Linked DNA regions of Sus scrofa. The protein of the gene in region 1 interacts with the protein of each later gene in a pairwise test. Links are inferred from orthologs where the notes say so. Each region holds a gene or a part of one and is shown on either strand. Other genes may lie near its edges.

Evidence for each region.
Region 2: the proteins of ZC2HC1A (region 1) and CASTOR1 interact in binary tests that used the Homo sapiens proteins (3 or more experiments, as listed by UniProt). The two-hybrid records come from large-scale screens. The link is inferred for Sus scrofa from reciprocal best matches to the Homo sapiens genes ZC2HC1A and CASTOR1.

What each region holds. Positions count from the first base shown.
Region 1 is NC_010446.5:57,816,866-57,821,367, reverse strand, and holds the start of ZC2HC1A (zinc finger C2HC domain-containing protein 1A), read left to right. Parts: upstream 1-1,476; 5' UTR 1,477-1,607; coding exon 1,608-1,623; intron 1,624-4,502.
Region 2 is NC_010456.5:47,263,746-47,268,215, reverse strand, and holds the start of CASTOR1 (GATS-like protein 3), read left to right. Parts: upstream 1-1,486; 5' UTR 1,487-1,658; coding exon 1,659-1,771; intron 1,772-1,785; exon of another isoform or gene 1,786-2,138; intron 2,139-2,355; coding exon 2,356-2,426; intron 2,427-3,863; coding exon 3,864-4,268; intron 4,269-4,470. UniProt on the Homo sapiens protein: Functions as an intracellular arginine sensor within the amino acid-sensing branch of the TORC1 signaling pathway. As a homodimer or a heterodimer with CASTOR2, binds and inhibits the GATOR subcomplex GATOR2 and thereby mTORC1.

The DNA.
Region 1 (4,502 bases):
TACATACTTTTTGTCTTCAGGTCACTTTAGGGCTGCACCCATGGCATATGGAGATACCAAGACTAGGGGTCTAATTGGAGCTGGAGCTGCTAGCCTATGCCACAGGCTCAGCAATGTAGGATCCGGGCCACTTCTGTGACCTACACTACAGCTCATGGCAACACCAGATCCTTAACCCACTGAGCAAGGTCAGGGTTCGAACCTGCGTCATCATGGATGCTAGTCAGATTCGTTTCCACTGAGCCACCACAGGAACTCCCCATAAATTACATACTTTTATCAGGAGAGACAAAGTTAGATATGATGTCAACACTTGGCAACTGAAAATTTGGATGAGGAAAGAGACGTGAGATTTATCATTTGGAAATGACATTAATGCTGATAACTTGCCAGGAGGTATACTGGAGTTACCCAATGATACGGATTGTTTGTCACTGCTAAATCAAATTTTCAAAGAAATTTAGTTCTGGTGAAATGGATTAGGCTGTTGAGCCCAGGTTTTAACCAGCTTTGGGGGTTACCTTCATCCCCAAGTGATTTCGACTCTGACAGACATGGGCCTCCTTCTGCCGTATGTAATTAGTTTCCCTCTTAAACTATCTGACATAGTTTTTTTTTTTTTATTTATTGTATTTTTTTTCCGCTGTACAGCATGGGGACCAAGTTTACATACATGTATACATACTTTTTCCTCCCATTGTTGTGTGGCGATTAACAAAAGTTTTTTTCCCCTTTTTTTTTTATTACTCAAATGTATTTATCACATCTGTAGTTGTATAATGATCATAACAATCTAATTTCAAAGGATTTCCATCCCACAACCCAGGTGATTAACATAGTTTTGATGTTACCTCATAGGCTGGGAGGCCAGTGGACTCCTTTAGTTCAAGGATGATCAAGTATGGGGCCAGGGGAGGTCAAGAGTAGATGAAAGGAGGGAACAGCTGTGCTTCCCTTCTAATTTTTGGACCAAGCTTTCAAGCGGAGGAAATTGTTTTCAGGTGCTGAGGGGAATCTCCGTTCCACAATCCCAGAGAGAAAGTATGATTCAGTAGGAAAAAAGTGCCTCAAATCTGAGTGTGAAAATGCAGTAAGAATGCACCCAGATAAAGGCGTGTGGCGCTGCTGAGGGTGCTGCTCCTAAGGGTGTAAGACTGGTGTTTGGTTGGCTCATTTGCTTCAAGTTCTCAGAGACAGATAGACCGTCAGACCGCGCTGACTAAGGGGCTGCGGGAACACTGAGGTGCTGAGATATTCTAAAGAGGAGGCTGAGGCATGACGAGAACAAGCCTGGAGTCGAACAAAGGTGCCCAGGGATTGCAGGATGCAATCTGGAGCGTTCTAGGCTTACCGGGAGGATCACCACCAAAGCCCAGGACCATAGCCAGAGGTGCAGCGGCCGCAGGAGGCGCACCTCCGGAGGACCCGCCCCTCTGAAAGCCACGCCCTCAGAGTCAGACCAATGGGAGCTCGGAATATTAGCGGGTGGGAGGCGCGGCCGTGTTGCTACAGCCGGAGCTGGGCGGCGGCGGCGGCTGTATCGGCGGCAGTGGCGGCGGCTGCGGGTGTTGTGCTAGGAGTGTCGCGAAGCCATACGCGGAGGCGCAATGGAGGGACTGGAAGGTAAAGAGGTGAAGGGATGCAGGCCGGGCGGCTGGGAGTGGGGTTGCAGGGAGGTGGGGCTGCCCTGGACCTCGGTACCTGGGAGGCGAGGGCAGGTACGGAGCGGTGGACCCCGTCGCGCCTCCGGAGGCCTGGGCGGGCGGGCGCCTTGCAGCCCCAGATGTAGGCAAGCTAATAATCCTCTGGCTGCCGCTCCTCAAATGGTTCCCCGCTTGGAGCCTGAGCCTGCTCTCTGGTAAACGCCTGCAGGTCGTTTCCTACCATTTTCTAAAAGGTCTTGCCGGCCTCCCCGAATGTCCTTTTGATAATCACAGCCTCCGGCCAGATTTTATTTTCCTTGCAAAGTGTACTCTCCCTTAATGTCTAAGGCCTCCCCAGTGCCAGCCTTTGCTGGAGCCCCGGGGTGTGTCGCCAACCTCGAGCTTCTGATACTTTCCTTGGCCACTTTCCTTGGTTTCCCTAGGTAACCGTTTTTCCATTTCTACAGCATCTTCTGTCGGAAGGATGCCAAGAGCATCTCCCAAGGAAGTGTCACTGGCCAGCTTTAGAGCTGAGACAATAGATTAACAGGAGGATTTAAGGGCTTATTCACGGGGACTCTGAGGAAGAGCCAGCATTGATTCCTTATCTTTGGATTTATCCTTGTGCCGTAACGACGACTCCAGATTTTGCTTTGTTCTCTATTCTTTCACTTCTCTGTTCTCTTCACTCATTTTATCCTGTGTAATATGACATGCGCTTAAAAACAACAAAGGAAAAAAACCAGTTAAGCCTTAGAAACAACAGTTTCACGATTCTTTTTCAAATTGTGGTTAATCCTTCTGATGAAGAAAAAGACTGGGGAATTGAAAGATCCTGTTTTCGTAATTTAGCCCTTTTTTCTCTTAATTTACATAGATTCAGGTGGAATTAATAAGCAGAAGCATTGAGCCCTGTGGATTGTTGCATGCTAGGGAGTAAATTATTTCAGGTTATGTTGTGAAGTGAAAAGTAATAGCTGATAACTTTTTGTAGTTACCTAAGCCCACCAAAAAGCCATTGCAATAACAAGTATGGTAATATTTTCACGCTTTTGCTCCTAGGTGAACTCTCATACTAAATACCTTGAGGATGATAGATAATTAAGAATTCTGATGATTTTCCATTTGTGGGCAGCTGTGGTATACCATAACTAATGAAATTCTTGTTCTTTGACTATTTATTTTGGCAAGTCACTCAAGTTTCCATGAAATAGGAATTATACTAATAGTATCCCTTACTCAAGATACTTTTGCTTAGAGAACTCATGGAGGCAGTTTATTTTTTTTTAAATCAATTTTCAAACATGTGGTAGTATATAGCTTAGTGGGTAGGATCATGGGTCCTGGAATTCTCATAAAGTTATTATAATACACACAAAGTGCTTTAGAACAGTTTTTCTGTAGATTTCTGTTATTTTATGCAGTATTTGAAATTAAGGCAAAGATCTTCATATGATTTTTAATTTAGGTATGCTCAATATCTAAAAGAGTGTCTGACACAAAGTAGGTATTCAGTATTTGTTGTGAGATAAATGGCTTTGTCTAAGACGGGCACAGCAAAAAAATAGAAAGTCAAAGCCCTGCTTTTATTGAGTGTACATTTTAGTATATTTTTAACAGTCCTAAGACATTACTGTTGATATCATGCTGTGTATACTTTTAAAATATAATGAAAACCTGTTATAATATGCAGTTACATGGGTAGAGAAATATATGAATTCTGATGTATCTTATCATGGGCATGTTTTAGGGGCCCAGCTCATGATGTGTTACGTAAACTACTTGTTTTTTACTCATTGTTGTTTTTTTTAAAAAACAAAATGAGTTGCTGGTGTTACCTGTGATGTGTCTGATTGTAATGAATCAGGTTAAAATATATGAAATTCTTCTTTTTGTAGGGAAAACAATTGAATATTGGTAATTTCAGGTGCTTTAAACCAATAAAAACTCTAAAAATCTTTTGTTGAAATCAGACAGTGCCTTTTTTTTTCTTTTAAAATTAGCCCCTGTTAGGTAATACTTTGTAAAGATCAACTTTGAGTCTTTAGTTTACCATTCATTAATTTATTCATCCATGCCTTCATTTAATATACAGTGATAAATTGGTACAGTGACAGATAAGATAAAAATTTTTCCCTATTGAAAGTCTAGCACTTTGAAGGTGTCTAATGAACATTATATTGCAGTATCCAGTAGAAAAATCTTCAGGAGTTTGCTTAACATATCATAATAATTGAGCATATATTGTACTGCCTGGCATTAGACCTGAGTTTCTAGTTGGAGTCAGCAGATTAATCCTAAATATATTGACTCTTGAAAAATTTTACTGAGGATTATCATACTCTTCTGGGACCTTTTTGTTTCCTGAATTGTCACAAGATGAGTTGTTAGGGGAACACATTTATTTACTAATACATTTTATTGGAGTATAGGTGACTTAAAACAATGTTATATTAGTTTTAGGTGTATTGTGAAGTGAATCAGCCATACATGTACATATATAACCATACTTTTTAAATTCTTTACCCACATAGGCTATCACAGAGTATTGAATAGATTTCCTGGAGCTATATATTAGGTCCTTGTTACCAAATGATTTTGTGTATAGTAGTGTGTATATGCCAATCCCAATCTCCCAATCTGTTCCTCTCTCTCAGAGTTTCCCCTTTGGTAACCATAAGTTTGGTTTTGAAATCTTTAGGTCTTTTTCTGTTTTGTGAATAAGTTCTTTTGTATCTTTTTTTATTTTATGGTTTTTATTTTTTCCATTATAGTTGATTGATAGTGTTCTGTCAATTTCTACTGTATAGCCAAGTGACCCAGTCATGTATATATACACATATATACATATATATATTC
Region 2 (4,470 bases), on another chromosome or scaffold:
CCTGGGAGCTTTTAAGCATCTCAGGGCCTCAGCCTGGAACATCTTGTCCTGGTACAGCTGGGGATACTGAGGCCTGAGGAGGTCAAGGGTCACATGAATCTGTCAGGGCAAACCACACCCTTCCTACCTCCTGCCCCTTACCCCTGTGGCTTCCTACCCCATGTACACCTGCCGTCAACCAGATGAGGGGCTCAGCCTCCTGAGGACACCTCCCACCCCCTGGCCCTCTAGGGGTCTGGCCAGGATGTGGTGGCTGCAGTGTTCCAGCAGAACCCACCAAACTGGTGAGTCCAGGGAGGGAAGGTGCTGCCCCACTACTAGCTGCGTGCAATTGCCGCCACCCCCCACCCCACGCCCGCCCGCCCCAGCAGGTAGGAGGCCTGCTCAGGCCTGCTGGGACCCAATCAGGCCTGAGGCCTGCTTTAACCTGCTTGGTTCAAAGCCTTGGATCTGAGGCCTGAGGATGTGCAGGCCAGGCAAGGGCCCCTGGAACATGTCCCATCCTGCTGGGAAACCAACCTAGGTGTGCTGATGTCTGCTCAGCACTGGGGTCTTTGCAAACCTGAGAGGCCTGAGCAGACCCCAGCCCTAATGTTGAAATGAACCCAAGGTGGCACTAACAAGCTTCAGATCTGGGGGCCTCCTTGGACATGAAACAAGCTTAAATGTGCTCAGGCCCAAGTTCTAATGACTGTAGGCTTTTAAGTCTGACTACACACTGGGCTCTGGATGCATGGCCCTGCCCCCCAAAGTTTGAGCTTTGGGCATTCCTGTCCCAAATACTTAAGTCTTAAGCCTCAAATGTTAGTCCAGACTACCTTCAGCTCCCTACCCTACAGTGTATTGCTCAGAGGTAGCTGGGGCCCTCCCCATCTTTGATTCTGGTGGGGAGCCTTCTACTCTGAAAGGTGGGTGAGAGGAACAGATGTGGGGACCACCAAGTTCAGGTTGGGTTTCATCTTGTTAGCCCACTCACAGGGCTCACAAAGCTTGGAGGGGTTTGTATCAGTGCTATCCTGGGCTGTGGAACTTTTTTCACTGCCACCCCAGCCAGTTCTGGTGGCCCTGCCTCATGCTAAGCCATCAGAGGAAGGAGAGGGAAAGGTGCCAGGACCCTTTATTGGGACAGAACAACAACGTCTCCTAGGTTGCACAGTGGACCCCTACCCACCCATGTTTCAAGGATTTGGGAGCAGTGTTCTGGTCACAGCCGAGCCCCGGTTCATCTTGTGGCCCTCCCAAGCCTTGGTGAACTTAATCAGAAGGCCCTTAGTGCAGAAAAGACCCCAAGCCTCCCCGGGCTCTCCGGAGCAGCTGCGGGAGTCCTGCGGAAAGGGCGGAGCCCGGAGTGGGGGAGAGGCATGGGCGGGGCCTGGAGGACGCGACGGGGGTGGGGTTAGGTGGTGATTCCGGAGCCAATGCCGAAGGGGCGGGGCCATAAGGGGCGGAGTGAGTCTCTAGCGTTACAAGGAGGCGTGGCCACCCTGGATTGGCCCCCAGTCCTGCGCGGCGTGGCCGTCAGGGAGCTGGCGTGGCTGGCGGCTAGGACTCTGCGGCGCAGCGGCTCCTTTAAGCACCTCCCGGCACCGCCCCCGCCGCCCCGCCCCCGGCACGGCCTGGGTCTGTTTGGCCGTGGGGTCGGGTCCGCGCGGACCGCGATGGAGCTGCACATCCTAGAGCACCGGGTGCGGGTGCTGAGCCTCGCCCGGCCCGGTCTCTGGCTCTACACTCACCCACTCATCAAGCTGCTCTTCCTGCCCCGCCGAAGCCGGTGCGCGTCCGGGTCCGGGCACAGAGGGGGGTGGGCTGCACTGTCACTCTGAGATGGGATCGGGAGATTAGGACCTCCGCGGGGCCAGCGGGAGCAGACAGGGAGAGCGCTCCCCGCCCCCCGCTCCCCACCGCCGCCATCCGGCCTGGGCCTACCCTCCCTGGGACCGCCGCCTATCCGGCTCGTGAGGCCCCCTCACAGAGCTTGTTAAGGCGCAGACAGCCTGGGATGGTCAGTGCTTAACTCCTAGTGGTTTCACATGGGGGCATTTCTTCCTGGCAACTTCGGAGAACTTTTTCCAGCTGCCTCTCATCGGGTCAGAGGGGCTGGTCTAAGGGGGCTCGGACGCCCGGGACTGCCGCCTTGGGTGAGCCTCTCCTTCCTCTTGGAATGCTGGGCAGGGGCTTCTGCAGAGATCTGGGCGGAGGAAAACGGTTCGCAATTCTGGAGATGGGGCCCACGCCCCACTGTTCTGGGGAGGAAATTGAGTCTGGAGGGGGCAGGGAGACGCCCAGCCGGGGTGGGGGGTGTCTGCCCGCCCCCTCCGCCCACCCAGGCTGAAGATGCTCCCTGCCCCCACCCAGGTGCAAATTCTTCAGCCTGACGGAGACCCCTGAGGATTACACGCTCATGGTGGACGAGGAGGGCTTCAAAGGTGGGGACTGGGCTGGGGAGGGTGAGTAGGGGAAGGAGGTTGTCCTCCCCTTTTTGCAGGATTCTAAGAGAATGCTAGGATCTAATGTACCAAGAGTTGGGGCCCTGAAGGCAGATGATCTGGGTTCCAGTCCATTTCCACTACTCACTGGCTGTGTGCCCTTGATCAAGTCACTTCCCCTCTCTGAGTTGTTTATTTCGTTTTATGTAAAATGGATATAGTTACGGTTCTGATCTATTTGGCCCCATGAGGGTTTTATAAATGGGGCAGTGTGTAAAGGGCATTTAGCAGCCACAGACCAGCAGCAGGGCCTCAGTTACAGCTCTGGGGCAAGAATCAGGCTTCTGTGGCTGTTCTTGCCCCCCACCCCATTATTTCCCCTTGGGCTTCACTCCCTGGTGTGGGTCACTCCCTCCCTGACTGGTCTGGGAACTCCGAGAGTCTGAGGGTTGGGGAAGGAATGCAGGAGCCGGCAGCCAGCCCAGGGCAGGATCCTACGGGGCCTCCTAGCTGTGTTTGGGCGATTAGCAGCCACCTTGGCTGTGGCCCATGTGCTGGACTGGACACCAGCCTGGTCCCTCCCTGATCCCTGGAGCTGATATCTGGCTTCTCTCCTGCCAGCTTGACCCATCCTTACAGGCCTGGAGTCTCTGGCCAGCCAGCTGGGGCTCCCTCCCTCCCCTACAGGGCTACTTAGTTTCCCTATTTATGCTGCGGAAAAGTCTGGGTCTGCTAACGAGGAAGGCATCTCCCAGCCAACTTGGACTGCTGGCTCCCCCTGGTGGTACCACATGGTGTAAGGCCTCTGATACTCAGTGCATACATACTCAGTTTCTGTAGGAGAAACAGGCTCTCAGAAGTTAAATCATTTGCCACAGGTCAACAGAAAGTAAATGATGAAGCTGGGATTAAAACCCAGGTCTGTCTGAATTTTGAGCTCCAATTTTATTTTATTATTTTATTTTTTACCTTTTCTAGGGCCACTCCCGCAGCATATGGAAGTTCCCAGGCTAGGGGTCTAATCAGAGCTGTAGCCACCAGCCTGCGCCAGAGCCACAGCAACTCAGGATCTGAGCCGCGTCTGCAAACTATGCCACAGCTCACAGCAACGCCAGATTCTTAACCCACAGAGCAAGGCCAGGAATCGAACCTGCAACCTCATGGTTCCTAATCAGATTCATTAACCACTGTGCCACGACGGGAACTCCAAGCTTCCATTTTAACTGGGAAGTTTCAATCCCTGACAGGCCAACACCCAAAGCACTTCTCAGTCTTTGCATATATGCAGGTCTCAGGAGCAGAACTTGGGGGAGGAGGACAGCTCTATTTTCCAGAGTGGACCTTACCTTGGTAGAGCCCTCCAAAGCGCAGACAGGGAAACTGAGGCCAGGGGCCAGCCCTACAGGCCCTGACTGGGTGTGTCCCCCTGCCCCACAGAGCTGCCCACGTCTGAGTTCCTACAAGTGGCCGAGGCCACGTGGCTAGTGCTGAATGTGTCATCCCACAGCGGCACAGCAGTGCAGGCTGCTGGGGTCACCAAGATTGCCCGCTCAGTAATTGCACCGCTGGCTGAGCACCACGTGTCCGTGCTGATGCTGTCCACCTACCAGACAGACTTCATCCTGGTGAGTTTCCTGCAGGTGCTGGGGCAAGGCAGGGTGGACACGGGTGCCTGGGGACCCGTGTATTGTGTCATCTTTGTGGCCCAGGTGCGGGAGCAGGACCTATCCGTGGTGATCCACACACTGGCCCAGGAATTTGATATCTACCGAGAGGTGGGCGGGGAGCCTGTTCCTGTTGCCAGGGATGATTCCAGCAACGGCTTTCCCCGTGCCCAGCATGGTGAGGGTCACCTCTGACACCCAGGCCTGGTGGGGGCTCCTCTTCCCACTGGGGCCCTTCCCTTTGTGGGTGGGTCTGTGGGCTTGGGGAGACCAGCTGACACTGACCCCCTCACAAGATAGGGAGACACGGCAGGGAAACTAAGGCAGATTCCGGTATGTAGCAAGTGACCCTACACCTAGCCCAGGCCCCCTTTCTGGCT